5 linked regions of the Canis lupus familiaris genome follow. The protein of the gene in region 4 binds, or shares a complex with, the protein of the main gene of each other region. Links are inferred from orthologs where the notes say so. Each region holds a gene or a part of one and is shown on either strand. Other genes may lie near its edges. The genes, in order: FKBP3, RPTOR, DEPTOR, MTOR and RHEB.

Region 1 (5,811 bases), on a different chromosome or scaffold from region 4:
AGATCAGATAGCTAGGATTTTGATTCAGGTGGTCTAACTCCTCAGCCCGCACACTTAACCACCATATATCCAGCATTTTGTAACAGTGCTTCCCAGTCTGTCAAGAATGGGTTACACATTTGTCAAGATAGCTATGCCTAACATGGTTAAAGGGTCCCATGGCCATGGCCAAGTAACATCCTGCCAGTACCAGCATCATCCAGTTACCAAAGTGTGCTTGCTATATAAATGTTCTGTGAGTTCTGTAATGGGAAGAGCATTAGTATGCAACAGTGTGACTCCTATGTAATATTATAGTTCCAGTCTTGTCAATAATCTTTATAGTGTATTTTTTAAATCTTCCTTCGATCTTTTTTGTTATGAAGTAGGGCAGAAAATATATTTATTTTTTCCATCAGTAGTAGTTTTATTAACGATACAATTGTTCACATAAGAGGTCATTTTCTAAAGTTTAGACCCTTATTACATGAGGGAGATTATTTTGACTAACCAGCTTTTTTTCCTTATAGTTTCTTGCAGAACATAAGTTATTAGGAAACATTAAAAATGTGGCCAAGACAGCTAACAAGGACCATTTGGTTACAGCCTACAACCATCTTTTTGAAAGTAAGGTGAGTATTATTACATCATATTACCAGAATATTGGTTTAGATATTTGTGTTTGAGAAAAGAACTTTTAAATTTATTTGCAGAATTTATTTAATTTTTTCCACCTGGAGTTTTTCCTAACTATAAGTGGACTATCAAATCTAGCAAAGCTAATCTGCAGTATAGCAGGATATTATGTTTTTGAAAGGAACCAAATTTTAAAAAATAATTCCCAGGATACCTTGGTGGCTCAGTAGGTTGAGCATCAGACTCTTGATTTCGGCTCAGGTGGTGATCTCAGGGTCTGGACATCAAACCCTGCACTGGGCTACCTGTTCTTTGGAGAATCTGCTTGAGACTCTTTTCCTCTGCCCCTCCCCACACTCGCATGTGTCTGTGCTCACTCTCTCTCAAAGAAATTTAAAAAAAATAGTAATTCCCTGTAGCTTAAATTAAAACAACAAAAGGGCTACCAAAAAGTTAAGACTCCAAAGTAAATTCTATTTCATTAATGAATTTTGAATCTTAGATTTAGGCTGAGCCTTTAGAAAACCAAATTTTTAAAAAATTCTCCAATATTTGTTCACTATGAAATAACTATCTTCCACAACAGAGTCTTTATTAAGGAATTATGTGATAGTATTCATATCTGAGTCTTGAGTTGGCCTTTCTAAATCTTTTTCCTTTTTAAGTATTTATTTATTCGTTTTAAAGAGAGAGAGCACAAGTGAGGGGAGACCGAGAGAATCCCAGACTCCCCATGAGCATGGAGCCCAACATGGGGCTGAATGCCAAGACCCTGAAGTCATGACCGTAGCTGAAACCAAGAGTCAAACACCCAATGCCACTGAGTTGTCCTTTCTAAAGATCCCTTTTGAGCATTTATATTATGAGATGCTTTGAGGTTCATAATTTGTTGATTAAAATGCTTAACATAAGATTTTTCCTTTGTTCTTAGTTTCCATTTATTTGTATTTGAGTTACATAGCCTATATTCAAATGCAGGTGTTCATTAAATTGAAAAGTTGAAAATCTAGATATCCCTTCTAGTCTTTAGCCTGTCCCGAATATGGTAAACATTAGAACATTTTCCTTGCAGCGTTTCAAAGGTACTGAAAGTATAAGTAAAGTGTCTGAGCAGGTGAAAAATGTGAAGCTTAATGAAGATAAACCCAAAGAAACCAAGTGTGAAGAGACTCTGGATGAGGTTTGTATGTAATATTATTTTATTTCTCATGTGAATTTGAGGAAAGTTTATAGCACTGATTTCTCATAATAAGGGGTGGTTGAGTATGACTACTTTGAGTGAGCCAAACACTGATTTGGGGTGTGTTATCTCCCTTAGGTGTACTGAATCAGGGAAGAAAAAAAAAGAAAAACATGTAAGAACCAGTGCTTTATGGTTAATAAGCTTTTTCTATAAAATACCTCTAGCTTTGTATTTTATATTTCCTCTATGTCTGACTAGAACTCCTGAGCTTCCAAAGCCATTTTAAGTCCTGCTTCTATAGCCAAGTTTGACTGAGTGAAAGCCGTTTCACTGTGATTATTTTTAGCTTTTTCTAATGTACATGGTATCCTTGGCAATAGAAATAGTCCAGGCTTGGCAACAGGGTGTGGAGTCTTCTGTCTCATCTTTCCCAACATAGGTCTTACATTTTGGTACAAAGGTTTGAAGAACTAGATAAAACCATTTCTGCAAAGGGACAGCCTCAGTAGAGCCAAGGACAGCAGTTAGAACAGCCACAAAAGAGCTAAATTGATAATAATCTTGCCCACTTCTGATAATATCTTGCTAATAACTAAGCTATAACTCCTTCCTAACAGTCTTAGTATCAGTGATAATAATTTGATTCTTTAGGTCTTATGAAGACATGTCACCTAATGATGAAGTACTATAGCATTTGGATATTTGTAGATAGAGTGTAAGTTCAAGTATACAATTATAGAAGTTTATATACCTAAAGCTAGTTAGTTCACAGGATACTCTCTTGGTTGAAAAACAGAATTTCATGTTCATGGATATATACACACAATAAAGCAATTTTGAGGTTTATCATGTCTAATATTATTTGATAAATGTTATATGTACTGGGAAGATATTCAGCAGCTACTAAGGTAAGTAAAGGTATAATAATTATTGAAGGATTGCAAAAGCAATTGGCAAAATAGTTTACCTTCCAGAAAATTACAATAAAAAGGTATGAGGCAGCAGATTGTGTATCATTATGAGGTTAAGAAAAAAAGAGTTATGGGGTGCCTGGGTGGCTCAGATGGTTGGGCATCTGCCTTCGGCTCAGATCATAATCTCCAAGTGCTGGGATCAACCCCCATGTCAGGCTTCCAGCTCAGCAGGGAGTCTGCTTCTTCCTCTCCCTCTTCCTCTTCACACATAAATAGTATGTGTGATAAACTGAAATGTAAATATCAGTAATAAACTGATACTTAAAGTACAGCAAAAAAAACCCTGCTTTTCTTACCTATATGAATTACCACCTATTAGCCTTTAGCATTCTTTAAAAAACTGATAATCCTGCTTTGTTTTAGGAAATATGCCTGTTAGAGTAATTTCTATAGATAATTCTGTTCCTCGTGTGAACTTACTTTCAAGTTCAGAAACAAATGGAGTATTACTATATTCGTTCTAATTGGATATAGTAAAAATATTTAGTAATGTCTAGTATTGGTGCTAAACAACTCAAATCTTTGGGGAAAAAAAAGTCACAATGCGTTATTTAATGCCTTATGATTTTATAGGAATTAAATAGTAATTATATTTCTAACCTTGGAAAGTAATAGGATTTATTTTATCATTTGTTGAATAACAATTTTGTCAAAAGAACATTGGTTTCCAAAGTAGCTAGAAGTTACTTGAAATTAAATTATAGAGGGACACCTGAGTGGCTCAGTGGTTGGGCGTCTGCCTTCGGCCCAGGGCATGATCCTGGAGTCCCAGGATAGAGTCCCACATCAGGCTCCCTGCATGGAGCCTGCTTCTCTCTCTGCCTCTGTCTCTGCCTCTGTGTGTATCTCTCTTGAATGAATAAATCAAATATTAAAAAAAAAAAAAAGAAATTAAATTATAGATAGGCTACTTACTAATATTCTCACCACAGACAACAATTAGATGAATTTTTTTAACTCAGAGGTGAACCAGAGGCAACAGAGTTAACCAAATCTGTGAAACTCTGTGCCGAGACTTGGTTCACAGTTGGCTGTATAAGAATTCTCTTTGTCGTCCACCATAGAAGGATGTGAGTTACTAACTCTATGTATTGTTTTTGTTTGTTTTTAGGGTCCACCAAAATATACAAAATCTGTCCTTAAAAAAGGAGATAAAACCAACTTTCCCAAAAAGGGAGATGTTGTTCACTGCTGGTATACAGGAACACTACAGGATGGGACTGTTTTTGATACTAATATTCAAACCAGTAAGTGTAAATGTAATCCTATCTTTTTAGCTTTAAGGCATTGCAAAATATTTGTGTGGTACATGAACAGTTGGTTATACCTTTCTCTTGGCTGTCAATTTTTTCCAAAAGTCCTTTGCACCTGTGATTATTGGCCGGGGGGAATAAATCTTGGTTGTTGGGAAGCCAAAAAAAAAAAGCTTAGTCTAAACTTCGTTAATGTCCTATAGTTGAGGCTTTTGTATTTAACATAAAAGGCAGAATAGTGTGGTGTTTTAGTAGTGTAAACATAGGTCTTTACCCTCTTCCTGCTTTGGGGACCATAACTATTTTTACATACAGAATTGTCTTGATGAGTTAACTTTCTGAATTTTTATTTCTTTTCAAATGCATAATATGGTAAGTTCTAAAATCAGTTTAAAGACAAATCACTGTTTTTCCACTGGAACTTAATTTCATCATGCATTATAAGGAAAATTTGTTTTACAGGTTCAAAGAAGAAGAAAAATGCCAAGCCTTTAAGTTTTAAGGTTGGAATAGGCAAAGTTATCCGAGGAGTAAGTAAAAAATGGCAATGAATCAATAGATATTCTGGTACATGCTGTATCTGCTATGGTATCATAAGTAGGATTTGGGATATGATGAAAACATTTGTCTTTGGATTCTGACAAATCAGGTGCTATCACTGTTAACTGATCTGACACAAGTTTTCTGGGTTTCAGATATGGACAACAGTACATTCTTCCTCAGGGTTGCTAAACAATTAAATGAGCATGACTACAGTATATAATGTAATAGAGGCTCAAATATTTTCTTCATGCCTACCCCTCTTTATTTTTTCATCATAAAGTAATTCATCAGAAAGTTTGGCTTTCTAAATTTATGTTTTAAGATTTTTTTTTTTTAATTTTTATTTACTTATGATAGAGAGAGAGAGGCAGAGACATAGGCAGAGGGAGAAGCAGGCTCCATGCACCGGGAGCCTGATGTGGAATTCGATCCCGGGTCTCCAGGATCGCGCCCTGGGCCAAAGGCAGGCGCCAAACCGCTGCACCAACCAGAGATCCCTGTTTTAAGATTCTTAAAAAATGTCACATAGTTGTTTTATCACTTACACACAATTGAGAAAGGTAAAAGATCCATTTCACTGCAGTACCTTATAGAAGCAGAAGTTTGTTCTGGGCCTTTTCACTTCTCACAACCAAGGTTCAAAAACCAGAAAAACTTTTCACACATAAGCATGCTTTTTTACCTGCCTTTACATGTGAGAGATAATAGAAGGGAACTTTGAGAAAAGGGGAAGGTAGGATTGAGCTGTACTGACCAATGCAGTGTACAAGAGTATGTAATAGAGCACTGAACAAAGCTGTTTTTGTAGGGCCTATTGTTATTAAAAGGTCTTTATTCACAGCATCAAACATTATAACTGAAATGCCTGTTAAATGCACTTATGAGAACCCTCGGTGTTCTTTATACTTGGGCAAGTTCTAAAATACGGAACATATCCACAGCCCAAAATAGCATATAAAACATCTTGAAACCAAAGGTTTAACTAAAAATAACCTTAACTGCTACCTGATTATACCAAGGTGATCAATTTTTTTATTTCTAGGACTAATTTGCTTACATATTTCTTCTAGTAAACCATATTCTTAATTTCCATTATATAACAGGTCTGTCCCTTGAGCTTTATGTGACTGAACATTTCAACAGAGTATATGATATTAGTCATATATTTATCTTTGCATCCTGTTGGTTTAACTGTTTTTGGTAACTGGCTTTAAGATCCAGAGCATCTGGCTGGCCTAGTTGG
Region 2 (5,789 bases), on a different chromosome or scaffold from region 4:
CCGTGCGTCGGAGGGGCGGTCCCCCCAGTTCTGCGGGAAGGCGCCCGGGGGTTTGACCGGAGGGTCCCGGGTGCGCAGGGCGCCGTGGGGAGGCTGCCGCGGGCGGCGGGGGGCTCGGGACGGCTGCACCCCAGGATGCGCTGGGTGGGCGGGGGGCGCGGGGGCTGCCCTTGGCCCATGTCGCCGCGCCGCACCCAGTGGAGCCAAAGGGCCTTTCCTCGTCCTGCTGCTGACAAGCGGGGATGCTGCTGCCCCACGGCCCACAACCCGTCAGCCAAGGAGCTGACCGCTCGGCGGCTTAGAGCCTGTCCGTGGCCGGGCCACCCGGAGGGGTCCCCCCCAGGAGGAGGAGCGGGTGGCCCAGGTCCTAGCAAAGCCCTGAGGTCAAGCCCCTGGTGGAAACCTTGACAAGGACGAGGCCATGGGGGCTGAGCGCTGACCCCTGCTCTCTGGGCACCGTGGGTGGCCGGGCTGCCCCCGGGCTGGTCTCGGATGAATCCCCAGGGCCCTCTCCCCACTCTCCGTGCAGGGCCCGACACTGGCATCACCGGGCGCGCCTGTGTGCCCGCGGGGACAGGTGGCGGCGGCCTGGGCACCCGGCGGGGGCCTCTGCACCTGGGTGTGCTGACGGGCGCAGTCAGCACCCGGTGAGGACAGCCCAGGGGACGCTCCTCGGAGGCCCCCAGCAGGATGGGGCCTCCCCAGGGGGCCCCGCAGGACGACCCCACCTGACGCCCACCCGGAGGCCGCAGCCCTCCCTGCCCTGCCGCCGGACTGGGGCTGGGGGCGAGTCGACTGCAGGGCCCCTGGCGCCCCCGGTGGCCACCTCTGCCTGTGGGAGCGTGTCCGTGAGCACCGGCTTTGCATGCAAGTCTTGGAGCCGGAAAATATTACTTTTCGTCTGTTGGTAGGAAGATACTTTCTGTGGGGAAGCACGGGCGCGGGGGGGGGGGGGGGGGGGGGGGGGCTGGGTGTCCTTCCTGCACAACACGGACGTCACCGCGGGGAGCCGGAGCTGCAGTGCTCAGGCCCCGGGTTTCCATGGCGACGCCCCCCAGCACAGCAGGTGCAGCCTCTGCCCCTCCCGACCCCTTCTCCCCACCGTGGCAGCATAGACGCTTTCCTTCCCATTCCCGCCGCCGCCCCCTCCTCTGGCCAGAGGGGCCCCTGCCTTGTAGACAGAGGGAGCAGTGGGCGGATTAAAGCCCCTAAGGATGTCCGAGTCCTGCTCCAGCCGTGCCTCCAGGGCACTGGGCTTCGGGGTGTTGGAGACTGTCCCCCCGCCCCCACACCCCTGGGCCTTCACAGTGGAAGAGGAGGCGGAGGGTCAGCGTCAGAGCCACGGGGACACGGGACACGGGCCCGGAGCCTGGACGCCGGCAGCTCCTGGAAGCTGGGAAAGGGGGAAATGGAGTGTCCCCTGGGATCCTGCTGCAGCGGCCTTGCCTGGCGTCTCCAGACCGGGTACGGTTTGGGGGTCCCGCTGCACGGGGGTGTCATCGATCTGGGGACCCATGGTGCTGCTCCCGTGACCTGGCCCCTTTCTTACCTGCCTGCCTCTTGCTGCAGCCCACCTGCCGGCTGCCCTGGGGACCCTGTCCCGAGCCTCCTTCCAGAACAAGGACGCACACGATCCCCCCAGAACCCCTCACCCCGGGAGCCAACCAGCGCTTCCTCCGGGAAGCCCGCGCGGCAGGGATGGGGACCTTGCGTCCTGGGACTCAGGTGGCCCCTGGTCTGTGCTGGCCGCGGGGCGACACGAGGGCGCTGGAGCCTCCCCGCACTGCACCCCTGTGCCCCTGCGCCCGCCCCCGGACCTGGGGTGCGCCCCGCCCTGCTGGAGTGGAGGTCAAGCAGGCCTCGGGCGACCGGGGCACACCCAGGTCTCCCCCACCCCCGCGGCGCCAGCCCTCCATGCCCCTCCCACAGAAGGCCCCGCCCCCGCCCCCGCCCCCGGGCCGAGCCACCAGGCCGCAGCCGGTCACCTCTGCACTTGTTTATTGTCATGAACAGTTGCCGATCGCTCGCGCTTTCACTCCGCAATTCTCATTTGGTAAAATAAATAGAGATAAACGAACCTTCAGGGCGTGCTCTGTGGAGCCCCGGTTAACTCCATGATTGGATTTTCGCGTGGGCCCCGGTTAGACCGGCCCGCGCCCCGCCCGCCCCGGGCCCGCTGCAGGGGGTCGTCCCGGGCAGGGGCCCTCCTTCCGGCGAGGCCGCTGGCGGCGGGGTGGTTAAGCCAGCTCACTCTTCCACGGTAACCGTGATTCCCAAGGAAAATGGAAAAATGCTTTTCAGAATCTCATCATTGGGGTTTTGTTTTACAAGCGCTGTCATCGGTCAGCACACCGCGGCTGTCCTTCGTGGGGAAACGGTCCCCATGGCCCTGAGGTCTGCACGGGCTGTGAGGACACGCGCACACCCATGTGTGCAGACGTGCAGACGCCCGGGCACACCCTGAAGCGACCACCACGAGACTTCTGCGTTACTCATTGCAAGATACACACTTCTGCTGCACCAGCGAGTGGCGGCAAACACGGGCCACTGTTTACCACAGACGCCCCTGGGTCCCCAGCCGCCCCCTGCTGGGGGGCATCACGTGTGTGATGCACGTGCCGGCAGGGAGGCCACGGGGCCACACGTGGACACGCATGTGCGGGCTCGGGTGTGGAGACCGTGGGCCCTGCGCACACGTGTACACCCGTGTGGGAGGCCACAGGCCCAGGTGGCTGTCACTGCACCTGCCCAGGGGCAGCACTAGAGACAAACAGGCCCCGTGGCCCAGTGGTGGCCGGATCACCAAGGACCTGCCTCACCTGTCCAAAGCCACAGGCCCCTCCTGCTAGCGGGTCTGTGGTGAGAGGGGCCCGTGCCAGGGGGTGGGCTGCGTGGCGGAGGAGCGGTGCCCAGCCTCACACCGTCTGGCCGTGAAGGCCCCCAGTGGGCGAGGACTGGGGGTTGGCGGGAGGCTCGGGCTCTCTCCTTCCACATGTACGGCTCTCTTGAATATGCCCCCTCCCAGCCTGCTTGGAAATGCCCCCCCGGAGCGTGTGGCTTGCAGCCAGGGGGATGCCCGGCCCAGAGACCCGCGATGAGCCCCAGAGCTCCCCCATCCGCCGGGGTGGCTGAGCCCCGGGGAGCCGGCTTCCGTCTCGGAGCTTTCCTGGAGTCAATGCTGGGTCCTCGCAAAACAGAACCAGTGCGTTTCCCCCTTTAAAAATCTCAGAAGCAAAACAGGACGGGAAGGGTGCTGGGATGTCTGCGACGGTCCTTGGGCTGTCACACAGCAGGACTCCACCAGAGGCCCCTTCCCTGGGCTCCTGGGCATGACAGTGACCACAGACGGACGGACAGACAGACAGCGAGGGGCCTCCGGGAGCCCCTGGCAGCAGGTCAGGACCAGTGTTCAGGGTGGTGCGGTGGATCCAGTATGTACACGGAGGCCTGGTGGGGGGGTGGGGGGGCGCCTGCTATCTGGCACGCTTCTCCACGGAGTACACGGAGATGTAGTAGTCGTTGCTGCCCACGGCCAGGTGAGGCTGCGAGGAGAGCAGGGCAGGTGAGCGGGCAGGCGGGCGGGCGGGAGGGCGCGGTGCAGCTTCCTCATCCCCACCCCGCTGCGGCTCTCGGCAGAGGCCCCACAGCCTGCCACAGGGATGCGGGGCCCTCACGGCTCCCTGTGGGGATGGTTCTGCGAACCCAGCGCCGTGCGTCCAGGCTGAGAGCCCCACACTGCCTGGGGGCCTCTGGCGGAGCCCACAGACTCGTGGAGCGGCCGTAAGGGATGAGCACAGATCTGGGCTGCTCCTCCCCGGGGCCCACGGGCTGGGTGAGGATGCCCAGCACCCTCCTCACTGCGAGGCTTCTGCAGGGGCGGCATCAGTGCAGGCCCAAAGGTGACGAAGAGTGGGCTGCCTCATGTCTGTGCAGCCCACGACGCCCTGCCTGATGCAGGAATGTGGTGCTGCTTTTAGAGGCAGTTTGGGGGCCGTGACCCCTGGAGACCCTATGCCCTGACAAGATCCTGTTTCTCAACCTTCTTGGACATGGGACAAGGTGGTGTGGGGCGGGCCCGGCTGCAGTCCCACCTGCCCGCATGCCCCCTCTGTCCCCTGTCCCCCCGCCCCGAGTGCCCCGAGCCCCGGGTGTGGGAACACAGACCCAGTGCGGGTGGAAGGCCAGGCAGCTGATGGCCCCGACGCGCTGGCCCATGAACCCGTCGTAGTACTTGATGTGGTTGATGAGCTCCCCGTTCCCGCTGTAGATGGCCGTGAACTGATTCATGGAGCCGCTGCGCACAAGGAGGTCCGGGGTTAGCCTCCCGCCGGGGCGGAAGCAGGGCAGGGCAGAGAAGCTGGGCGGTGGCCCCTCCCCCCACACGGCACCGTCCCAGACACCGGGCTGCCCTGGCCGCCCATCACCCAGGCACGAGGGTCCCCACAATAATGTGGCTCCAAAGAGCACTGCTTCCCAGGCATGGGGGACGGCGCCGGCTGTTTACATGGAGGCCCGAGGCTGACTGTGGTGCTCTGGCTGACTGTGGTGCTCTGAGAGGGTCGGGCCAGGAGAGGCCTCTCATTTTCCCTCAGGGTTGGTACCTACCAGGCGATCAGGTTTGCCTGGGGGTGGATGTCGAGGGCCGTGAGCCCCTTCACGATCTGAAGGACGTTCACAGACTCTGGCATCCGAGGGTCGAAGAAACGCACGTCCCCGTTGACACTGCCGGGAAAGGGTCACCGTCGGGGCCCGTGTGCACACGCACTGCTCAAGGCCAAGGCCGGCTGGCCCCTGAGGCCGAGCATGAGCCCGCCCCACCGGCCCCGAGCCCCAGACTCCCCACCAGAGCCCGACCAGGCCCTGCGGCCCAGGCGCGGAGCAGCGTAAGCAAAGACACGGGGGGTGTGTGTGTGTGTGTGTGTGTGTGTGTGAGTTATGGGTTTCATTTCCAGTCCCGGAGATTAGATTTCGTGCAGCCAGGGATGCAGTTAAGGGATGGGAGGGGGGGCAGGGAGGCGGGGAGGCCGCGGGGCGGCACGTGGCCCCTGGAGCCCCTCCTTCCCGCCCTCGGGCTCCGGCGGGTGTCGTGCCGAGAGCTATGTTCTGCTTTAATACTCCGAACAAGGCCGAGAGCACCTCTTGGAGCAATGGTGGCTCTGTGACAGTAAATCACATTTTGCTGTCCCTTTAACGGGCAAATAAATATTCGCTGCTCTCAGCACGGGATTTACCGGGCAGCAGAAATGAATTTACGGGCAGACGGCTACTCCACGCAGAGATCCCGCAGCAAAGGGCCGGAAGAGGCCCACCGGCTCCCGGGCACACCCCGCCAGCCCCCACGGAGCAAGCCTCCCGTCGCCAGCGGGCACGGCTCTGCAGCTGGAGGCCCAGTGTGTCCCTGCCCTCCCACCGGCCCTGAGCTTTCCGGCCGGTCCCAGAGCGGAGGTTGATTACTGCCCGGAAATGCCACCCTTTCCCAGCTGTTTAAATACCAGGGACATATTTTAAATGGAGGAGAAAATACTGTTTTTACAGCAAAACGTCTCATAAATATTTCGTGCTCGTTACCTCACGCTCATGATGTGGCCCTCGGGGTGCTTCTGGAGGTAGGCCTTCACCACCCAGGCCGTGTGCTCCCGGTACGTCATGACGCGGCTGGAGGGGAGGAGGCAGGGTCAAAGCCTGGGGGGCTGCCCAGGGGAGGGGAAGGGGAGGCGGGGGGGGGGGGGGGGGGGGGGGGGGGGCCAGGCTTGCCGAGGGTGTGACTTCTCTTGAGCCAGGGAAACCCG
Region 3 (5,811 bases), on a different chromosome or scaffold from region 4:
TATAATGATTAATTTTAAGTGCCTTACTGAGAAGGCCTACTTATCTGCTTGAGAAAAAAAAAATCACACATGAGCTCACCGCCCTCTGGGAACCCTCCCACAAGAGTGAGGGAGAAGCTTGTCAGAATATGGGTAAGACCTAGGATTTACAAACCACGATTAAGACAATTGAGGCAACCACAGTTGAGACCCAAAAAAGGCAACCTGACCTTTCCTTGATGCCTGCTTTATCAGCAAACTTTTCCCTTTGAGCCTATAGGCAAGGAGAAAGAGGAAAGGATGCAAAACCCACCTCAGTAAAGGTGGATGCGTAGCTCATTTACGTAATTAACACTTTGTTCTTTTTCTACCATTGTATGCAATCAAAAGAAGGAAAGTAATATTCCATTGTATACAATGGAATATTACTCAGCTATTAGAAATGACAAATACCCACCATTTGCTTCAACGTGGATGGAACTGGAGGGTATTATGCTGAGTGAAATAAGCCAGTCGGAGAAGGACAAACATTATATGTTCTCATTCATTTGGGGAATATAAATAATAGTGAAAGGGAATATAAGGGAAGGGAGAAGAAATGTGTGGGAAATATCAGAAAGGGAGACAGAACGTAAAGACTGCTAACTCTGGGAAACGAACTAGGGGTGGTGGAAGGGGAGGAGGGCGGGGGGTGGGAGTGAATGGGTGACGGGCACTGGGGGTTATTCTGTATGTTAGTAAATTGAACACCAATAAAAAATAAAAAATAAAAAAAAATAAAAAAATAAAAAGTTAAGTTCCTTTCAAAAAAAAAAAAAAAAAAAAAAGAAGGAAAGTGGCTTTAGCATAGCTGGCCCTTTCCTAACACTGCACCCTTCTGCTTCTAACTTTAGGGACACCTGTCAGATTTCCATCGGGGTTTCAAAGAGCCTATTTCTAAGAATACAGTTCTCCTTTCTCATTATACCTTAACAGCAGTGTTCCATGAATTGAAAAACCCAGTTGCATATGGGTGCTCAATGATTTTCCAGCTAGAGTCAGTGTGGAAGCAAGTTTCTTCATTCATATGTTGCAGGTTATGATTTTATTCTTCCAGCTAAACCTCCAGAAGGTAGCAGAAAAATGTTAAAATAAGTGAAATACTCACTTTCCTAGATAATGGTCTTAGATAATAATTTTCTTTTAAAGCCCTTTGAACATCTATTTGCCCTTAGTCTCACTAGCATGTTCTCCCCACAGAGAGATGATATTTTCACCAAGGGAAGGAATCACAACCTTTCATCTTTGTATCCCCAAGTGCAGTGAGGAGGGCACAGCATGAGCCAAAGGAACAAAGCCCCTTCCCTGAAGGTGATAGACTAGACTAAGGGTGGACAGAGCACTAAATGAAGGGAGTGAGGGTGTTTTCAAAGCAATCATTATTTTCATGATGGACCATGCAATCGAATCTTGGGAGAGGTAGGTAAGGAGCAGTGAGGAGCTAGTAGGATCCGTGAGTGATGAGTTCCCACAGGCTGAAGAATTGATTGGGTCAAGGAAGAACTGTTTCTAAGCACAAGCTCATCAACAGTCTTTGTGCCTAGCCTTTTTGTTTTTTTGTTTGTTTGTTTGTTTTTGTTTTTTGTTTTTTGTTTTTGAACGTAAAGGCCACAGAGGTTGATTAGGAGGATTTGAAACTGCAAGGCACCAAGATTCAATTTCAGAGAGAGTTGGGTTTGCACAGATCTGTGCCTCTTCTTTGGGAGATATGGGAACCCAAAAGGTCTTTGCACCTGCTCAATCCCTCTTCAGAACTGAGGGGCTTCTCCCAGTTGCTAACTGCTGATACCTTCAACTGTCTTTGGAACCACCTCTGAAGAGAGCTGCCTTACCTAAGGTCATGCCCTCCTCCCAGGGGCAGCCAACACCTAACAACTGGTCAACAGGAGGGCTGAAAGGCCTGGCCACCTCAGCCACCAGTTGGGACAACTCTGAAGGGCCACCCCGACTCCAGAGCTCCCTTCAGGGGTAGTGGGGCAGCCTGATTCTCCCTCTGCCCAAACCTACGTGCTTCCCTTGCGTTCAACAGGTGTTGGCCCCCAGAGTAGCCATAACAACACTGCCACGTATTAGTTGCCCCTACCTCCCCCACCCCCATCAGAGAATCTGCTGCCCAAGGAACCCACCCAGCCTGCACCTCTGCCCAGTCATGGTCAGAAATGGGGGCTGCCGGGATCCCTGGGTGGCGCAGCGGTTTGGCGCCTGCCTTTGGCCCAGGGCGCGATCCTGGAGACCCGGGATCGAATCCCACGTCGGGCTCCCGGTGCATGGAGCCTGCTTCTCCCTCTGCCTGTGTCTCTGCCTCTCCCTCTCTCTCTCTCTGTGTGACTATCATAAATAAATAAAAATTAAAAAAAAAAAAAGAAAGAAATGGGGGCTGCCTTTTGGTCACTCACCGGACTTGGGGTTGCAGAGCACAGGGGGGCTGCTGCTGAGCGTGGGGCTGCTGCTGAAGTAGCCACTGCTGCCGCAGCTGCTCATGCTGCTCCTCCGCACCGCAGACACAATCTTGATCTCCTTGCTGGGGCTGACTGCGTGGGCCAGAAACACATACACACACACAAGGTCGTGAGGATGGTGGCTTTGGTTCCCTGGAGCATGTGGGCTTTCCGCCACAAGATAGAGGCAGGCGAGTCACACACGCCAGGAAAACGCACCCGGCCTCTGAGTCAGAGAAGCAAGAATTTGAAGGGCAACCTGCCACTCACTGATGGCACAACCTCAGGCACTTTGCTTCAGGTCTCGGAGCCTCCACTTCCCCAGCTGTGAAGTGGGAATAATGCGATCTCACAGGGCTGGTCGGGGGAGTAGTGTATATAATGTACAGGCACGTACTCAGGCACAGGCCTCCCAGCCTCCACTTCCCCAGCTGTGAAGTGGGAATAATGTGATCTCAGGGGGCTGGTACGAGGAGTGGGCCATATACTGTAAGGGGATGTACTCAGGCACATAAAAGGTTATTTCAAGAGCGGTTGAGCCCGCGCTGAGCAGTTCCAGGAAGGATATAAATCAACTGCTGGCTCTACACTTAATGGATTAACAGTAATAATAAGTGCCTCCTGATTTTAATATGATGTCACTAGCTACCCAGAGCCACGGACGAAGGAGATTAGAACATAATAACACATATTTAGCTCTGACAGTGTATGTGAGGCAGCAGTTTAGTGCTCTGACCTGGTCCTCTTTGCCTGCAGAGTCAGTGGCTCTCGACAAGGAGAGGAGAAGAAGGTGTATGGCCAAATGAAGGAAGCCGTGGAGAGTACCCGCTTAGTGCCTGGAACATGGGAAGCACAAAGTAAATGCTGGCTTTTATAGTGACCACAGCCACTCTATCCCTGTCATCATTGTCACTTTTTGGGTCTCTCGTGCCCACAAGAAACAGGCAGGCCTCAGGGCTAGAAAGAACATGAACAGTTACTCTGCATTTGCAGAAGACCACAGCTCTACGGTGACACACTACTGGTGTGTATCTGAGCACAGGCTGGGCTCCTGACCGTCTGTAAGTGCTTACTTTGCCTGAGGGGCTCTTGCTTCATTCTTTCTTCCACCCTAGATGTGTCTGATGAGGGGGATCAGGGTAGAGACAATATAACATAAGCATTGGAATTAATACAGAACTGGTGTAAGTCTAGGCTGACCTTGGGTCAGCCCCTCCATTGATCCATGTCTCAGTTTCTCCACCCATAAAATGAGGATAAGAAAAGTCCTTCCTCTTAGGATATAGTGAGATTTAAATAAGAAAACTCATGCAAGCAAGCTTAGCTCAGGGCCAGGGGTGCAGAAAAGTCTCAATATAGCTACGAGTGTTCTCACTGCCACCTGCTGTAAATAACCAAGACACACATTCTCGCTGTGCCCTGAGTTTCAGGTGAAACCCCAAATTTCCAGACCTGAGGCCAGCCAGTTCCTTGGGTCAATGCCAAATTTTCAGAGGAGTTGAAGATACCCCTTGGAGCACCTCTGCTTCTTATACAGAAGGGACATCAAGTTAACTTTTTCTGGATGAGTAGGGCTATCTTTGTGAACATCCGTCAGCATCATTTCTGTCAGGGATCATTGTAAAAATAGGACTATTTGACCTTCCATGTGACACCCTAGGTTTTATGAGCTCCTGTGTTTGCTTTTCACAAGTTTTCTTTGCTCTGGATCACCCCTTCATGACGGATGGGCAATCAGTTAATTGCCTTTTTCTTGTATATGCCCTCAAAAGTCTTTACTCACCATTAAAACATACAGCTTTTCAGTGCTGTGATTTAGAAAACGGGATCATTAATGATATATAAGAACTGTTTACAAATGAAAAGTAAATAAGGTAAAGTGAGAACTTAAGAAGCCTTCTATCATGCAAAGACATAATTTTATAAGACGGTCTTCATGACATCTAAATTGACTGCCCAGGAACAATTTGGTCATGCTGGGTTTTTTTTTTTTTTCATACTGGTGGGTTATGAATAAATAAAAATGGGCTGGAGAACAGCATTCCACAAAGGTGAGTTATTACTATACTATTTCTCAGAAGACAAATGCAAGTGGTTGGATACACAATGGAACTGACATACCGGACATAAAACTGGTAGATTTCCGATTGTCATGGCTCTGCTTCCTCAGGCAGAAGGGGCTGTCGTGAGTTTCCTGAGAGGAGGGAGATTTTTCATTGAGCAGCTCCATCAGTCTGCGCCTCCGCCGGAAGTTCATTCTGAACTGGTAGAGAAGGTTGCTGTCCACAAATGGGTGCTTGTTGGACACTGCAGTGGAGACACAACAGATGAGCATGCCTGGCATCCTGGCCACTGAGCACTGCAGCCAGAAGTCTCCATCCAATAGGGGCAAAAGTCTACAGAGTTTAATTCTACAGATGCCACATGAGCTTGTAGTCCACACACCATTCCAAATTCTTTCCACGTGCCATGTACTTTAAAAATTGGCTAACCAGTTCCCCTGGGGCTGCTTTGCCTGACCTCACCCCCAATCTAAGCCATACTTTTCCTCGTGTTGTCTGAGCCACTATTTAACCTCCAGCTGATCACTTACCATACTGTACCCACATTGTCTGTTCACTTCTCTACCTTTGTCCACTCAACTCTGGCTCTCTGGGTTTCATTGTTTCATGGTTTCATGTCGTCATGTGTCCCCATGCCCAGCAAAGTGCTACTCCCATGACCATATGTCCATTCATTTTTTAACTTTTGATTTTGAAATAATTATAGACTCACAGAGAGCTGCAAAAATAATAGAGACCATATATCTGTTTGTTTTGGTGGTGGGGAGAGCTCATCTCTTTCTCCCAGCTAAGTCACTCTGCTTAAAGGCTCAGACTGCGTCTTCATCATTCTGGCATCCTGGAACCCTAGACTACCATGTGTTTGGCTCAGTGTAGGTGCCTAGTAAAAGACTGGCAGTGAATATTCAGTGATGGGTAGTCAGATGGATAAGCAGCATGTCCAGAACACTGCTAACTTTAAACTAGTTAGTGGCTAGTCTACACAACAATTCTCCCTAAACCAAGGGGTAGTTTCATAGTATGTGAAGAGTTTTCTGGGGGTATGGGAAATTGGAGTATTAAGGACAATGCATCTAGTTTTTCCTAAAACTAAGTATATTTCATGTAAAGCCTTTCCTTTATTCTGAATGATATCATCACAATTTTTTGTTGTTCAGTCATTTATCCATTTATTCAACTCACATTTGTTGAGTTAGGTTAACAACATGCTGTGTACATTTTTGTCCTGAAATTTATGAAATGATGGTAAAAAAGAGATAAAAATTCTTTTTTAAGAACTCATTCTTGGCAAT
Region 4 (5,811 bases):
ATTAAAGCCTATGAAAAGAAGGTATGATAAAATGAATGCAGAACAGGATCTACTAGAAACCTTTTACGTAAGTAAAATTCCCGAAAGACCATTTCAACTGTAGCTTAATTACTGTTATTTATGAATCCAGGATTTCTACAGAATGTGGATTCTAAAACTTTTCTCCATAGTGAGCCCACGTAGACACATGAGAGAGCTGAGAAACACCATGATTTAAAAACATTTCTTGTGCCTCCTCAAATGGTATCTCTGATCATTTGCCCAGATTCACCTACGTTTTGAAAGATTTCACATGCCTCTAACACATTCAGACTTTAAAGCTCATTTTTTCTTCCCTTTGAGGGAACTATTTTATCCCATTATCTACCTACTTCTTTCCAAGCGCATCTGATCATGTGCCCGAAGCACTGCATCTTATCTCTCATAAGGGGAGCCCTTCCGTCAACTGGTGAGATTTTTGCTGATTTTCCACTGAGAGTGCTTCATGTGGCCCTTGACCCTGAGCCTGGGGCCGAAGATGCTACCTATCGAAACACTTCCATTGTCCCAAAGGAGGTGACACAGGGTGACCTGGAGAGAAAGTGCCAGTGTCTCCAGCTGCCATGAGTTACCTTCAGGATGGGCTCCATGTAGGGGCGGATGAGCCGGGGGGCATTGGAGACCAGGTGCCCCAGCATGCGGGCACTCTGCTCTTTGATTCTTCCAATACCGCTGTGCTCCAGCTCTGTCAGAATCTGTAGGGAAGAAAGCCCAGGCGGTAGAGGGAGCTCTAGAGAGGAACGGTGTGTTGAAGAAGAAGCTAGAGGGAGGAACCAGAACTGGACCGCGGATCAAGTAGCCGTTGAATACTCCACGGAGGCAAACAGTCGGGGACACAGCAAAAGTGGGAAGGACTGTGGGAAACCAGTCCCCGCCCCCACAGTCCCATAGTCGTCCCGGAGCATGGCTTTCACAGTGCGGCACAGGGAACTAAGAAAACCAACAGGGACAGTGAGAGCAGGAGTCTGCAGAAACAAGGAATGAAAATCTTTGGGCAGCAAATCACTAAGAGCCTATAAATAATGACAAAAGGACCAGAGAACAGTTAGAACAGCTACGCTGTTGAAAGAAATATTAATACTCAGTATTGGTTTCAGGGACATCTAGATAAACCCAAATAGGAGGGATTCTATCAATCAAATCCCCTTGGACCTTAATGAAAAGGAATAACATGTTTGTTCTGACATCCTTAAAATACCAGCAAATCAACATGTCCTACTCATAGTGACACAGATATAAACAACCTAATATAGACAGATTTCTGGCGAGCTGAAGTTGCCAGAAGGAAATCTCTGGACCGTGAGAAAAGTAGATGCTAACTCTCTACCCAGAGGAGTCTATGATTTAATAATATATTTTGTCTTAGGTTATTCATTTAATAATCCTAACTTTCTGGATCCCCTGGCAGTCTGTTTTCCTCCGTCACAGAAGACAGCAGTGAGAGAGAGGGATGCTGAGAATGGACCCACAAGAGCCAGGAGATGGCTGGCAGGGAGGAAACAGGATTTGCGAGGAGAGCACAGATCTCTGGAGCACCAAGGGCCAAATCAAAGATCCCCAAATTCACTTCCAGAGCCGAGAGCATCACTGTGCCCTCACAATACCCAATGCCCACTCTGATGATCCAGGCATCAGAAAAGGCCACTTAAAGCACATTTGGGCAATGTCCCTTACCAAGGCATGAAAATGTGCAAGGTGACTTGGGAAGGTGTGTATCCACATTTGAAAACAAGGAAAATTAAAAACTTCGGAGTTTCAAGGGCTAAGCTCAGTACACGGTAAATTCATTTAACGGTGCTTCACATTCTCCAAAATCAGAACAATGAGATGGCCTGATAGCCCAACAGTTTATTGTAACCTTCTTGAGGACACAGGCCACGGCTGGCTTGTTCACGGATGTTCCCAGGGCCCGGCAGCACCTAGAACGTGGTAGATGTCCAAACATCTATTGATTGAACGAACATGCTAATATTCTCATTAGGAGATATTTCTATATCATGCTTTAAAGCAGGATTTGGCCAATACTTGAAGAAACAGATTCCAACATAATTTAATCCTCTAATTTATTGACTAATAATATGACTTAATAGTCACTTTACCTTCGATGGATTGTGAATACACAATGTTTCTCTAGGATGAAAGTTACATGTGTTAATCATTTTTCTGTGTTTATGTTCTTTATGTGGGTGGGTCAGGAAGCAGAGGAGGAGGTAGAGACAGGGTGGAGTCGGGACAGGAAAGGACTGGGTGAGCCACAGTGAGACCCAGAAGAGCTGGGTGGAAATAACTCGAGGCAGGAAGGATTGGACCATGCACCAATCACAAGGAGGCCAGACAATTTATGGGGTAGGTGGAGACAAAAACTGGGGAGCCAGGTTTTAGCTCAGATCCTGGGGCGCCTGGCTGGCTCAGTCGGTAGAGCATACAGCTCTTGATCTTGGGGTTGCGAGCTCGAGCCCCACGTTCAGTGTGGAGCCTACTTAAAAAAAAATTCCTAATAGACAGAGCAGCAAGGTCAATCTCAATCTTTGACTCTAGTCCAGCAGCTTAGTTTGGCCTCTGACGTGATTTATGAACCAAAGCCAGGGACCACAGACCAGGGCAATGACTACAAGAAGCAGTGCTGGAACTGTTCCCAAACCTGGCCTCTGTGCCTGACCTGGACTCAGCAAGAGCAGGAGAGTGGAAGGACAGAGAGGTGCTAGGAAAACTGACACCATGTGCAGCAGACCGAGTGGAGAGGGCCAAGGAGTGGGACCTCTGGTGACTTGCCAGGAACAAGAAAAGAGCTGCAGAAGACGTTCGCCTGGGATAAGAGGCCCCCTGGGGTCATGCTGCCAAGAAGCTGGGAAAACATGGACCCTTGGAGCCAAACAGGGCTTTTGTCAGGTATCTCGATCTTTCTCCCCTTCCTTGTCCTCATCTGTCTTTCCCCAAACGGCTCTTCCCCATTGCCTCTAGGTCACACCATTACCTGGATGAGCATCTTGCGCAGGAAAGGCATGACGAAGGCCGGGTTCATGCTACTGAGCCGGCCCACGGTGCAGATGGCCAGCTCCCGGATCTCAAACACCTGGTCGTTCAGGGCCACAAACAGGGCCTGCAAATTCTCTGCCTGGGCCAGGTGTGCATCAAAGCGCTCATCCAGGGACGCCAAGACACAGTAGCGGATGTCAGGGTCTGCAAGAGCAATTTCGCCTTTGAACGCCTCTTCAATGCCATCATCCCTCTGGTCATTTCCCAGTTTCTGACCCACTGCCTCTGGCCTAGTGAGAGGATGCCATGTACCTTTCTCTCATCTAACCTGTCAGCTTTTCCTCTACTCATAGGAGCAAAGACAACAGAACTAAAGACAGATCCTTTTACACCAGTAGGGTAGAGTAGCCAAGCCTAATGCTCTGGCAGAGACATCAGCTGGACATCGGCTTGCTGAGGCTGAGTCTCTAGAGAGCCATGCAATGAAACTGGCTAATTCCAACTGCCCCAGGCGCACGGACTGCTCCTGTCTCATAAACCGTACCAGGATCTGTTATCCCAACCACAAGCAGTTTGCTGAGCACGTCTGCCACCACTTGCACTGCAGTCTGGCTGACCACATGAGCGTGGCCACTGATGAGGTGGACGGAGGGCGTGAGCAGGCGGGAGCAGGTGCGGGCAGCTTCCATGCGGATCTCCTTGTGCTCGCTGTTTAGGAAATGATCCGCACAGTGGCGGACAAACTGGGTCAGAGAGTGGCCTGGATACAGAGGCAGAGAGAAAACAAAATAAACGCTGCGGCTTTGGTTGGTAGGTCTACAACTTGCTAGCTGCATTTTTCATTTCATGGTTACGAATTCAATTTTCCACAAGATATTGACCCAGAATTCTTCTCTTTAAAAAAAGGCAACAAATGGGTTTCCAGTCAGCACAGAGGCGGAAGGGAGGCGGAGGAGCTGAGAGACAGAAAAAAGGCATCCTCCCACCCCCCCATCTTAATCCTTTCTTTATTTCCTTCAAAGAATGAATGATTCTGTTTTATTTTGACCCAAACTTTTATATTCCCAGAGAGTAAGAACAATTCTTGACCAAATTTACCTTGTCTATTTTAGTCCCCAGATTTGAATACCAAAAGAGAGTCTGATGTAGGCTGGGTTTAAATATAGCTACTTTCTATTCATTAGACATAAATTATCCTGGGTGCTGATCAATGCAAGGGACGAACTACAAGAGGGAAACCACAGACGGCTGTAAGCATTCAGATGGCACGTTCAGACTTTTTGTACTTGCTTGTTTCCCCGCAGTCTTGAGCAATACCACCTACATGATCTTAAATTTCAAAAGTACCCATTTTTTCTCTCCTGAATAAATCTCCCTAGGGCACTGATGTGGGTTTATCTGCAGCTTAGAACTCCAAACAGAACTACACAGTACAGCACTCTTGAAAATCACATTGCCATAGGAATGAAACACCTAAAAGTCTCCAGCTTAAACATTTTAAAGCATTAAATACCATCTCAGCTTCATGGACAAGGGGAGGGATTCGGGGGGCTCCATCTCTGACCTTCTCATCTCTGAAGCATTAATTCCTTGATCAATGCATAATTTCCCTGAACACCATCTGCCCTCAAACTCAGGATGGAAGAAAGAAACGAAGAGGCATCAACAATACATGCAAAGAGCTTGGAGGCTGAGCCACTACAGGATCAGCTCCCGGTGTCTCCAGGATCCCCAGCAAGACACCGGAATTCTAGGAGCCCTCATTCTTTTCTTGGGGTTCCCGGGAACACTCGCTATCTTGGCAAGAATGGCTGTGATTCCTTACCTTCAAACTCAAAGCTGCCAAGAGTTCGCAGGGCAAGAGTAATGCTGCCCACATCGCTGGCCTCGGGGAGGGCTGTGAGGCCGGGGGAAGCTAGCTGGTGGGCCAGGCCCTTGGGCATGCCCGGGTGCCGGAGGGGTTTGTGCATCAGGACCAGGGACAGCATCTTCAGGAGCCCATCCTGGATGTCCTTCTTCAGCTGCGGAATCTGACGGCTCAGGTCGTAGAGCACAGCAGTGAGGGCAGGGCTAAGGGGAAGGAAATCAGGTACCTACGGCGCTGCACAAGACGTTTGTCTGTTCTTGAGAAGAAATAACCCTCCTTGTCAGAGAGGGGATTGGGCCCATACTGCGTGGTTTGTTTTTTTTTTTTTTAAAGATTTATTTATTTATGATAGACGTAGAGAGAGAGAGAGAGAGAGGCAGAGACACAGGAGGAGGGAGAAGCAGGCTCCATGCTGGGAGCCCGACGTGGGACTCGATCCCGGGACTCCAGGATTGCGCCCTGGGCCAAAGGCAGGCGCTAAACCGCTGCACCACCCAGGGATCCCCTGCGTGGTCTTTAAAGTACAAAGGATACTATAAAATAGAAATGTCCTGAATTCTCTTGGCCTAGTCAGAGATTTCCAAACAATGTACAGATTTCTAGTCTTTGCCAGGACTTACTAAATATAATCTAGACACTGCAGAAGACCAAGGCTCAATAAACAATCTGGGAAGCAAACTGAGAACATTATTCTTACTTTATAGCTTAAGAGAATGCAAGTGAGAAAAGCTAGGCAGTTTCCCAATGGTAACATAAACACCTGCAAATATCGCTCGAGGACTTCTTATGTGCAAGACCCAGAGACCAGAGTGACTGTTCCATCAATTCTTTCACTTAACCCCCTCGACAACCCCGGGCAATGGGAGCTGAGATTGTGGCCGCTCTTCAGGTGAGAAAACTGAGGCTCAGAGAAGTCAAATAACTTGGTC
Region 5 (5,811 bases), on a different chromosome or scaffold from region 4:
CTTCCCACCCACTGGAAAACATGGTGTAGAGAACAGCGCACCAAATAGAGGTTAGATATAAACTTCAGTCCTAGTTCTTATGCCACATAAACCGAGTGATCTTATATAAAACTCCTTTACTTCTCTCTTTGGATCTCAAACGCACTTTCAAAATGAGACAGTGCAACTGAATGATCTTAAGGACAGATTAGACACCCAATAAATGTTTGATTTAATTCCATTAGGAAATGAAGATATTTCTTACTCTCTCAACTCTTGGTATCTGAATTCTTACTACCTGAACTCAGAAGCTGAGCAGAGTCACACGAATCTCTTGTGACCTGGCACACGGGAACCAATCACACAGATTTAATATTCCTCATTATTATTATTATGTTTAAAAGATTTTATTTTATTTTATTTACTCATGAGAGATACAGAGTGAGAGAGAGAGAGAGAGGCAGAGGGAGAAGCAGGCTCCATGCAGGGAGCCCAAAGTGGGACTCAATCCCGGGTCTCCAGGATCAGGCCCTGGGCTGTAGGTGGTGCTAAACCGCTGTGCCACCAGGGCTGCCCAATATTCCTCATTATTATCTGAACCCAGGGACAAAGGGATGTGACTGCCAAGGGGTACCTGGGTTGACTGAGAACCTGGCAGACAGGCATGCCCATAGCATCTGCCATGCAGGACATTATGGAGAACAGAGGTAAATGACATATCTTGGATTTTGGGATGAATTGAGGGGGATGAGAGGATGAGAGAAAAGGACCTTGAGAGCCAGGGGAAAAGTGGCTGAGGTGGGGAGAGTGGGCCTCAATCCTTACCCAGAAGGTACCAGTCACCCTGACTGAACAGTTTCCTCACACACTTGAATACCAGCTACTCTGATTTGAGGATCAAACAAGAGAATATGTGGAAAATACTTTAAAGACTGTAAAGCACTACACGGATATAAGTGGTGAGTCAGAGAGAGGATAGCTGAGGCTGGAGGTGGCCTGAGGGGAGGGCACACTCGGCCAGTGCCCCCAGTGGGGAAGGCGGCGGGATGAGCACCAGTGTCGCCCGACCTCCATGTTGCTAAGGGCTTTGAGCCTGTTCTCTAGACAACAGGCAACCCACCGACAGTCCTAGCAGAGGGTAATGCCATCTGATGCGCAGCTTTAACGAGTTTAGTGGCAGTGCAGAAACAGGAGAGAGAAGACAGAGGCAGGAGGGGAGGCTGGCCATGTGAGGCCTCCACAGATAAAGCCAACAGCCTTCCCGGGCGGTGCTCTTGCAGGAACATCTGCAGGGCTGACGTGGGCACAGATGCCTGCAACATGGTTCTTAATAGTTTCAATGGTACAAACAATATATATATGGCATCCGTTTCATCCTACAGAGAAAAGGGGCTTTGGTGCCGGCACAGAACTATTGCCAAAGTGATGGAAGATCATTCTCCTTTCTTTTCTATGCCTGGACTTATTTCTGTGCCAGCCTTTAATACAAACAAAAATAATAATATACGTTCACAAAGCAGCATTTCCTTTACTCCCAACTTCTGTTTATCCTACAAATATTCCAGATCCCATTGTAAGCAGGATCTTGATGGCAACTCAAAGGCCAACTCTGAGATGGTGGAAGGAAGGACATAGGTGAGGTGGGACAGAAGGACACAGATGAGGTGGAGCAGGTGGGGCACGGCTGCCTAAGGGTACACAGGCCCAGAGCTGACGGAGGCAGCACAAGAGGAGTTCTACACAATACGTACCTGATTTTCTTTAGCAGAAGATTCCAAAAAAGCGGCGTTCCAAGACTCTGCTAACGCTTTCCCTTCTTCATAACTGATCACCCTAGAGGAAAAAGAAAATTCTAATTAAAGGACTGTACTCTCTTTTTAGGAAAACATCTGTAAATATTAGTGAACCAGGCTCCACTTTTATCATTTTTTTTCCTTGCAAAGCAGAGAAATGCTCTCTGCTCAATATTATCATCCAGCGTGGACCACAGAGGGGCACTTTAACAAGGGCTGGGTTGGGGAACGGGACAGATGTGTCCTTATGGCGTTACCCATGCTGCGGCAGGCCCTCAGCTCGGAGAACACAACTGTGCTTCCAGCACACTGTGACACAGACTGTTTCATAGTGTGGGGTGGGGGTTGTCAGCACCTGAGGACCAGACAGTTGTGAAGGGGCCCTCGGCCCAATGTTGCTGTGCATCCTCCTCTCCAGCCAGGACTCCACAGCAGCAAGGGCTTTGCTCCCGCTCAAGTATCTAATCCTCACCACGGGACTCAGAAACTGTTTGTTGAATATATGAGTGCCTCTGTGATCTCTTTAGGCCACTTTACACAAAATGTCAGAAGATAATTTCCTACCACATTTGCTCCCTCTTTTCTAGAGGAAACACTTGTCAGGGTGGGTGAGGTTTTATATTGCAGTTTTGCTTCTGCTTGGGTACAACAATCACCACCACATTTCTGAACATAGACATGTTACATCTAAGAATAGTCTCACCATGAGAATAATTACAAAAGATACTGCAGTGCCTAGACCATTTCAGACTTGATTTTATAAATCAGTAATTATTCAGAAGTTACATACCTTTCCATATGTAGGTCTTTCTTATTCCCAACCAACATAATAGGTATTCTAGTAATGTAAGACAAAAAAGCCAAAGGTAACTAGTCAGTGCCAGATCTCATTGTTCAGAAGACACAAGTATAATGAGCATATCTAACAAAAGAGAAACTATTACTACTTACTGCACTTTCCCCACCATGTCCAACAATTTGCCATGAATAACTTTAATCACTTCAAAACTGTAAAAGAGAAGCATGAAATCAGACATCCATCTTAGTGTTGGTGTTTTTAAATGTTTGTTACATAATGTTTCTCGTGGGAAAACTACATAATGTCACTGGCTTACCATTTTAATATAAAATAAACTGAAAAAAAAAAAAACTGAACACAAAGAATTCCTTAATTTTTTCCTACAAATCATTTTTCACATGTGTATGTATCTGACACTGAGTAAACCTTACCAAGACTATTCAAAATGAAATAGGTGCAATATTAAATGGGAAAGTCTAACACTTGGCTGACAAACCATATAAACACAAATTTTAATCTCTGAATAGACATTTGTAGAATGTTCTTTACCTAGAGGGCCCTAGCAGTCAGCCCGTGTTCCATATTAATATGATGAAAAACACACAAAAAGCAAATCAATTTATATAATTCCCATTTCCATTAGCAGAAAAGCTCAGATCATGTCAAATCACTATTTATCTAGGCAGTTGGAGGTAAGAAATAGAGTTTTTACTCAATCAGTGTAAGAGAGCATCTACTGGGATATCTTTTTTCCCTTAACAACCTGTTTGCTCCATAAGACAACATAATGAAAAACATTTAGCTTGGTAAGTCAGATTGTTACTATAACCAATTCCATCACGGTCCTTTAAAAAGAATGAGTGTCTTTCATGCGGAGCAAATAAACTCAAGCAAGCAGGAGGAGGGAGTCCTACCTTTTGATTGATGTAACAGAATACACAAGAATATAACCATTAATATCTATGGAGTATGTCTGAGGAAAGATGGAGTATTCATCCTGTGGGAGAAAAAATAATTCTATGTGAGTAAAATTCTTCATGTAGCGTAACAAGCAATCTGTACCCCAAAGTTCTTCACACATGACCTGGTCAAAGAGATCAAAGTAAACAAAAAGTGGATTACATTTTCTTCCAGAAACACAGCCTATACACTTAAGACTTAAGTGTATAGGCTGGTTTGGAGCTGATAATTGTTTTCAGCCAACATGTGAAAATGACTGGCTATTCTAAGACCTTTGGGGAGAAGGCTGATAATTTCTGCAATTCCTGGTGAAAGAGGATGGAAGGAATGACAAGACAACAGGTCCTGTGATCTTATAGGAGGAGAAGAGCTATAGCAGTTCTTTTAAGGTTCTAAGTCTAGAACCTTAGATCTCATGGAAAATTCACCAGTGCTTCTGTTTTTTTCCATAAATCTGTATTCTCCTATCTGAAATTGTTATATCCTTACCAAACCCATTCTCTGCAAGTGAGTCACAATGGCCCAAGGGCCAGTCTATTGGTCACTAGTGGGTTACCCCCAGCACTTGAGAGCGCAAGAAGAGAGGACAGAATCAAAAAGGTAAAGTCAGTGTACCCAGACTTCTGGGGATCAAATCAGTTATTTATTGAGCAACGTTAGGTATTAAAAACAAAGGTACACATTACATAACACATCAGTACCCAGTTTCATAAAGCAGCTTTAGGAAACTCAAAACTCGGCTTCAGATACAGAATTATTGAAGTATACAAAAGGAATACTATCAGTGCGGTTCCTTATAACATGCCACAGCCTGGTATGAAACATTTTATTCTCCCTTGAAATATAATTGTTGGACTCCTGGGTGGCTCAGTGGTTTAGGGTCTGCCTTCGGCTCAGGGCGTGATCCTGGGGGCGAGGGGGGGATCTCCTTGGGGAGCTTGTTTCTCCCTCTGCCTATGTCTCTGCTTCTCTCTGTGTCTCATAAATAAATAAAATCTTAAAAAAATAAAAATAAAAAAGAAATATAATTGTCAACATACCATGTAGCCCAAGCACTATTCTAAACAATCAGGTCACATCATCATTATATTAAGTAACTGTCTCTATTAACTTTGCAATTCCACAGTATGGTTACAACTAATGCTTATGAGTGCCCTGAATTACTGCCCCAAATTATTACTATCTACCATAGCAAAGTGTCTTTAAAAAATAAAAATCAAAGAGAAATTAAGTATTACTATCAGCTCTTTGATATCAATAATAATCATTCATCAGAAGGTAGCATTTCTACATCTTAGAGCTCACTACTACACATGCAAAATAAAACCTTTGTTTTCATTATCAGTTTCCTTATTAGTTTCATTAAGTTGAGTTCTTTTGAGAACACATTTTTGTTAATGGAATGAGAGGTCTTTCTACCCAGATTAAGAACAAAATTCCAAATGATTTTAGTCACACCAGCTGAGCTACAGTAGATCTCGAGTTCAAATCACCTTTTCCATGAAGAGAAAACATGGAAGTAAAGAAATGAGTCATCATATTTCAGAGGCATGATGCAAACCACTGCTAGTTAGAAAGTATCATGCGGGGAAAGCTTCCCCAGCTCTAAGAGCAACCAAAAAGGAAAAAATTCCTAGGAATAAACTCAAGAAAAGTGTACGATCCATCTGAGGAAAATCTTAAAATACTCCCAAGAGATCAAATGGAGTGAATAGAACAGTGAGTCATGGTCCTCAGCAAGACCGTGCAGCTTATCAAAGTCTCCCCTGATCCATCCTAAATTAACATATAAATGTAAAGAATCCTGATAAAAAGTATATTTTCTGAGAAAGAGCAATTGTAGACGCAGCTGGGTGAAACCATAAAGCTACTTATTTAAATTAAAAGAAGTATCTACTAGTTCATGAGTGAAGTGGACTGAAAAACCTACCAAGACCCACAGAGCCGGGAATTAGGTAAATGCTAGTATTGGCGTTTCAGCTCAGTAAGGGTAAAAGTAACCCTCCAACAAAGCTGGCCAGGGAGCAAAAGCAGAAGCATATAGGGGGTGAATGAATGGCTAAGCTGGATCTCTAGTTCCCACTTGAGCAAAAATGTATTCCAGAAGAATTAAAAATTTAAAGATTAAAAACGGAAACCATATGCAGAGCAGATGGGAGTATTTTTTAAGAATAGTATCAGGTGAAAAGAGATTAATCAATTCAATGATGTGAAAATGAGAATGTTCTTCATGCTAAAAACCTTTCAAACAAAACCACAGACTGAATACAAACCCAAACC

The links.
Region 1: the proteins of MTOR (region 4) and FKBP3 are in contact, whole or in part, in a crystal structure (PDB 5GPG), measured with the Homo sapiens proteins. The link is inferred for Canis lupus familiaris from reciprocal best matches to the Homo sapiens genes MTOR and FKBP3. Residues at the interface, in NP_001373429.1 of Homo sapiens: Glu2032, Tyr2038, Phe2039, Gly2040, Arg2042, Tyr2088, Val2094, Leu2097, Tyr2105, His2106, Arg2109; in NP_002004.1 of Homo sapiens: Lys160, Pro161, Leu162, Ser163, Lys170, Tyr198, Lys201, Gly202, Gln203, Pro204, Asp205, Ala206.
Region 2: the proteins of MTOR (region 4) and RPTOR are in contact, whole or in part, in a cryo-EM structure (PDB 6BCU), measured with the Homo sapiens proteins. The link is inferred for Canis lupus familiaris from reciprocal best matches to the Homo sapiens genes MTOR and RPTOR. Residues at the interface, in NP_001373429.1 of Homo sapiens: His597, Thr600, Pro632, Val644, Ser645, Gln646, Thr647, Ala648, Val649, Ala653, His686, Ala688, Gln689, Glu691, Met721, Asn722, Pro723, Ala724, Phe725, Met727, Pro728, Phe729, Arg731, Lys732, Leu734, Ile735, Leu738, Thr739, His743, Tyr771; in NP_065812.1 of Homo sapiens: Phe278, Lys282, Cys283, Ser285, Leu286, Pro288, Gln380, Ala381, Asp383, Leu384, Asp387, Glu411, Gln412, Thr414, Ala415, Val418, Trp419, Thr421, Met422, Arg427, Asn428, Glu431, Gln432, Lys973, Ile974, Asp979, Leu980, Glu981, Ser982, Lys986.
Region 3: the proteins of MTOR (region 4) and DEPTOR are in contact, whole or in part, in a cryo-EM structure (PDB 7PEC), measured with the Homo sapiens proteins. The link is inferred for Canis lupus familiaris from reciprocal best matches to the Homo sapiens genes MTOR and DEPTOR. Residues at the interface, in NP_001373429.1 of Homo sapiens: Met304, Gly305, Phe306, His1494, Cys1498, Trp1501, Gln1525, Asp1527, Ser1528, Glu1530, Glu1531, Cys1534, Met1535, Ile1536, Arg1538, Arg1547, Gln1554, Leu1556, Leu1559, Gln1562, Cys1563, Lys1566, Arg1683, Leu1685, Asp1686, His1687, Lys1710, Ile1711, Phe1714, Gln1715; in NP_073620.2 of Homo sapiens: Arg54, His56, Leu57, Lys58, Thr59, Tyr60, Pro61, Val101, Arg116, Lys119, Asp121, Gly122, Thr123, Phe124, Lys131, Ala132, Arg135, Arg138, Lys142, Glu177, Gly178, Glu179, Glu185, Cys304, Asn305, Lys307, Gly335, Asp336, Ala337, Val338.
Region 5: the proteins of MTOR (region 4) and RHEB are in contact, whole or in part, in a cryo-EM structure (PDB 6BCU), measured with the Homo sapiens proteins. The link is inferred for Canis lupus familiaris from reciprocal best matches to the Homo sapiens genes MTOR and RHEB. Residues at the interface, in NP_001373429.1 of Homo sapiens: Arg62, His69, Glu73, Ala101, Thr102, Ile104, Gly105, Arg106, Asn109, Tyr110, Arg112, Asn113, Phe140, Glu143, Tyr144, Phe147, Glu154, Arg160, Thr969, Gln973, Phe977, Lys980, Glu1010, Phe1011, Gln1014, Met1018, Ser1050, Thr1051, Asn1264, Lys1293; in NP_005605.1 of Homo sapiens: Lys5, Ser6, Arg7, Lys8, Arg15, Pro37, Ile39, Glu40, Thr42, Gln57, Ala62, Asp65, Tyr67, Ile69, Gln72, Thr73, Ser75, Ile76, Asp77, Asn79, Asp105, Met106, Val107, Gly108, Lys109, Val110, Ile112.

What each region holds. Positions count from the first base shown.
Region 1 is NC_049229.1:22,776,456-22,782,266, reverse strand, and holds part of FKBP3 (peptidyl-prolyl cis-trans isomerase FKBP3), read left to right. Parts: intron 1-509; coding exon 510-611; intron 612-1,687; coding exon 1,688-1,795; intron 1,796-3,883; coding exon 3,884-4,019; intron 4,020-4,487; coding exon 4,488-4,555; intron 4,556-5,811. UniProt on the Homo sapiens protein: FK506- and rapamycin-binding proteins (FKBPs) constitute a family of receptors for the two immunosuppressants which inhibit T-cell proliferation by arresting two distinct cytoplasmic signal transmission pathways. PPIases accelerate the folding of proteins.
Region 2 is NC_049230.1:1,850,065-1,855,853, forward strand, and holds the end of RPTOR (regulatory-associated protein of mTOR), read right to left. Parts: intron 5,656-5,789; coding exon 5,569-5,655; intron 4,723-5,568; coding exon 4,606-4,722; intron 4,295-4,605; coding exon 4,165-4,294; intron 3,543-4,164; coding exon 3,474-3,542; 3' UTR 2,242-3,473; coding exon of another isoform or gene 2,146-2,241; 3' UTR 1,982-2,145; downstream 1-1,981. Other genes in the region: translation initiation factor IF-2-like, read left to right, coding at 1,215-1,464, 1,570-1,853, 2,146-2,241. UniProt on the Homo sapiens protein: Component of the mechanistic target of rapamycin complex 1 (mTORC1), an evolutionarily conserved central nutrient sensor that stimulates anabolic reactions and macromolecule biosynthesis to promote cellular biomass generation and growth.
Region 3 is NC_049234.1:19,335,096-19,340,906, reverse strand, and holds part of DEPTOR (DEP domain-containing mTOR-interacting protein), read right to left. Parts: intron 4,764-5,811; coding exon 4,578-4,763; intron 2,550-4,577; coding exon 2,415-2,549; intron 1-2,414. UniProt on the Homo sapiens protein: Negative regulator of the mTORC1 and mTORC2 complexes: inhibits the protein kinase activity of MTOR, thereby inactivating both complexes. DEPTOR inhibits mTORC1 and mTORC2 to induce autophagy.
Region 4 is NC_049223.1:84,312,684-84,318,494, reverse strand, and holds part of MTOR (serine/threonine-protein kinase mTOR), read right to left. Parts: intron 5,086-5,811; coding exon 4,841-5,085; intron 3,776-4,840; coding exon 3,560-3,775; intron 3,220-3,559; coding exon 3,014-3,219; intron 735-3,013; coding exon 612-734; intron 9-611; coding exon 1-8. UniProt on the Homo sapiens protein: Serine/threonine protein kinase which is a central regulator of cellular metabolism, growth and survival in response to hormones, growth factors, nutrients, energy and stress signals.
Region 5 is NC_049237.1:16,170,661-16,176,471, forward strand, and holds part of RHEB (GTP-binding protein Rheb), read right to left. Parts: intron 3,569-5,811; coding exon 3,486-3,568; intron 2,781-3,485; coding exon 2,724-2,780; intron 2,611-2,723; coding exon 2,563-2,610; intron 1,813-2,562; coding exon 1,731-1,812; intron 1-1,730. UniProt on the Homo sapiens protein: Small GTPase that acts as an allosteric activator of the canonical mTORC1 complex, an evolutionarily conserved central nutrient sensor that stimulates anabolic reactions and macromolecule biosynthesis to promote cellular biomass generation and growth.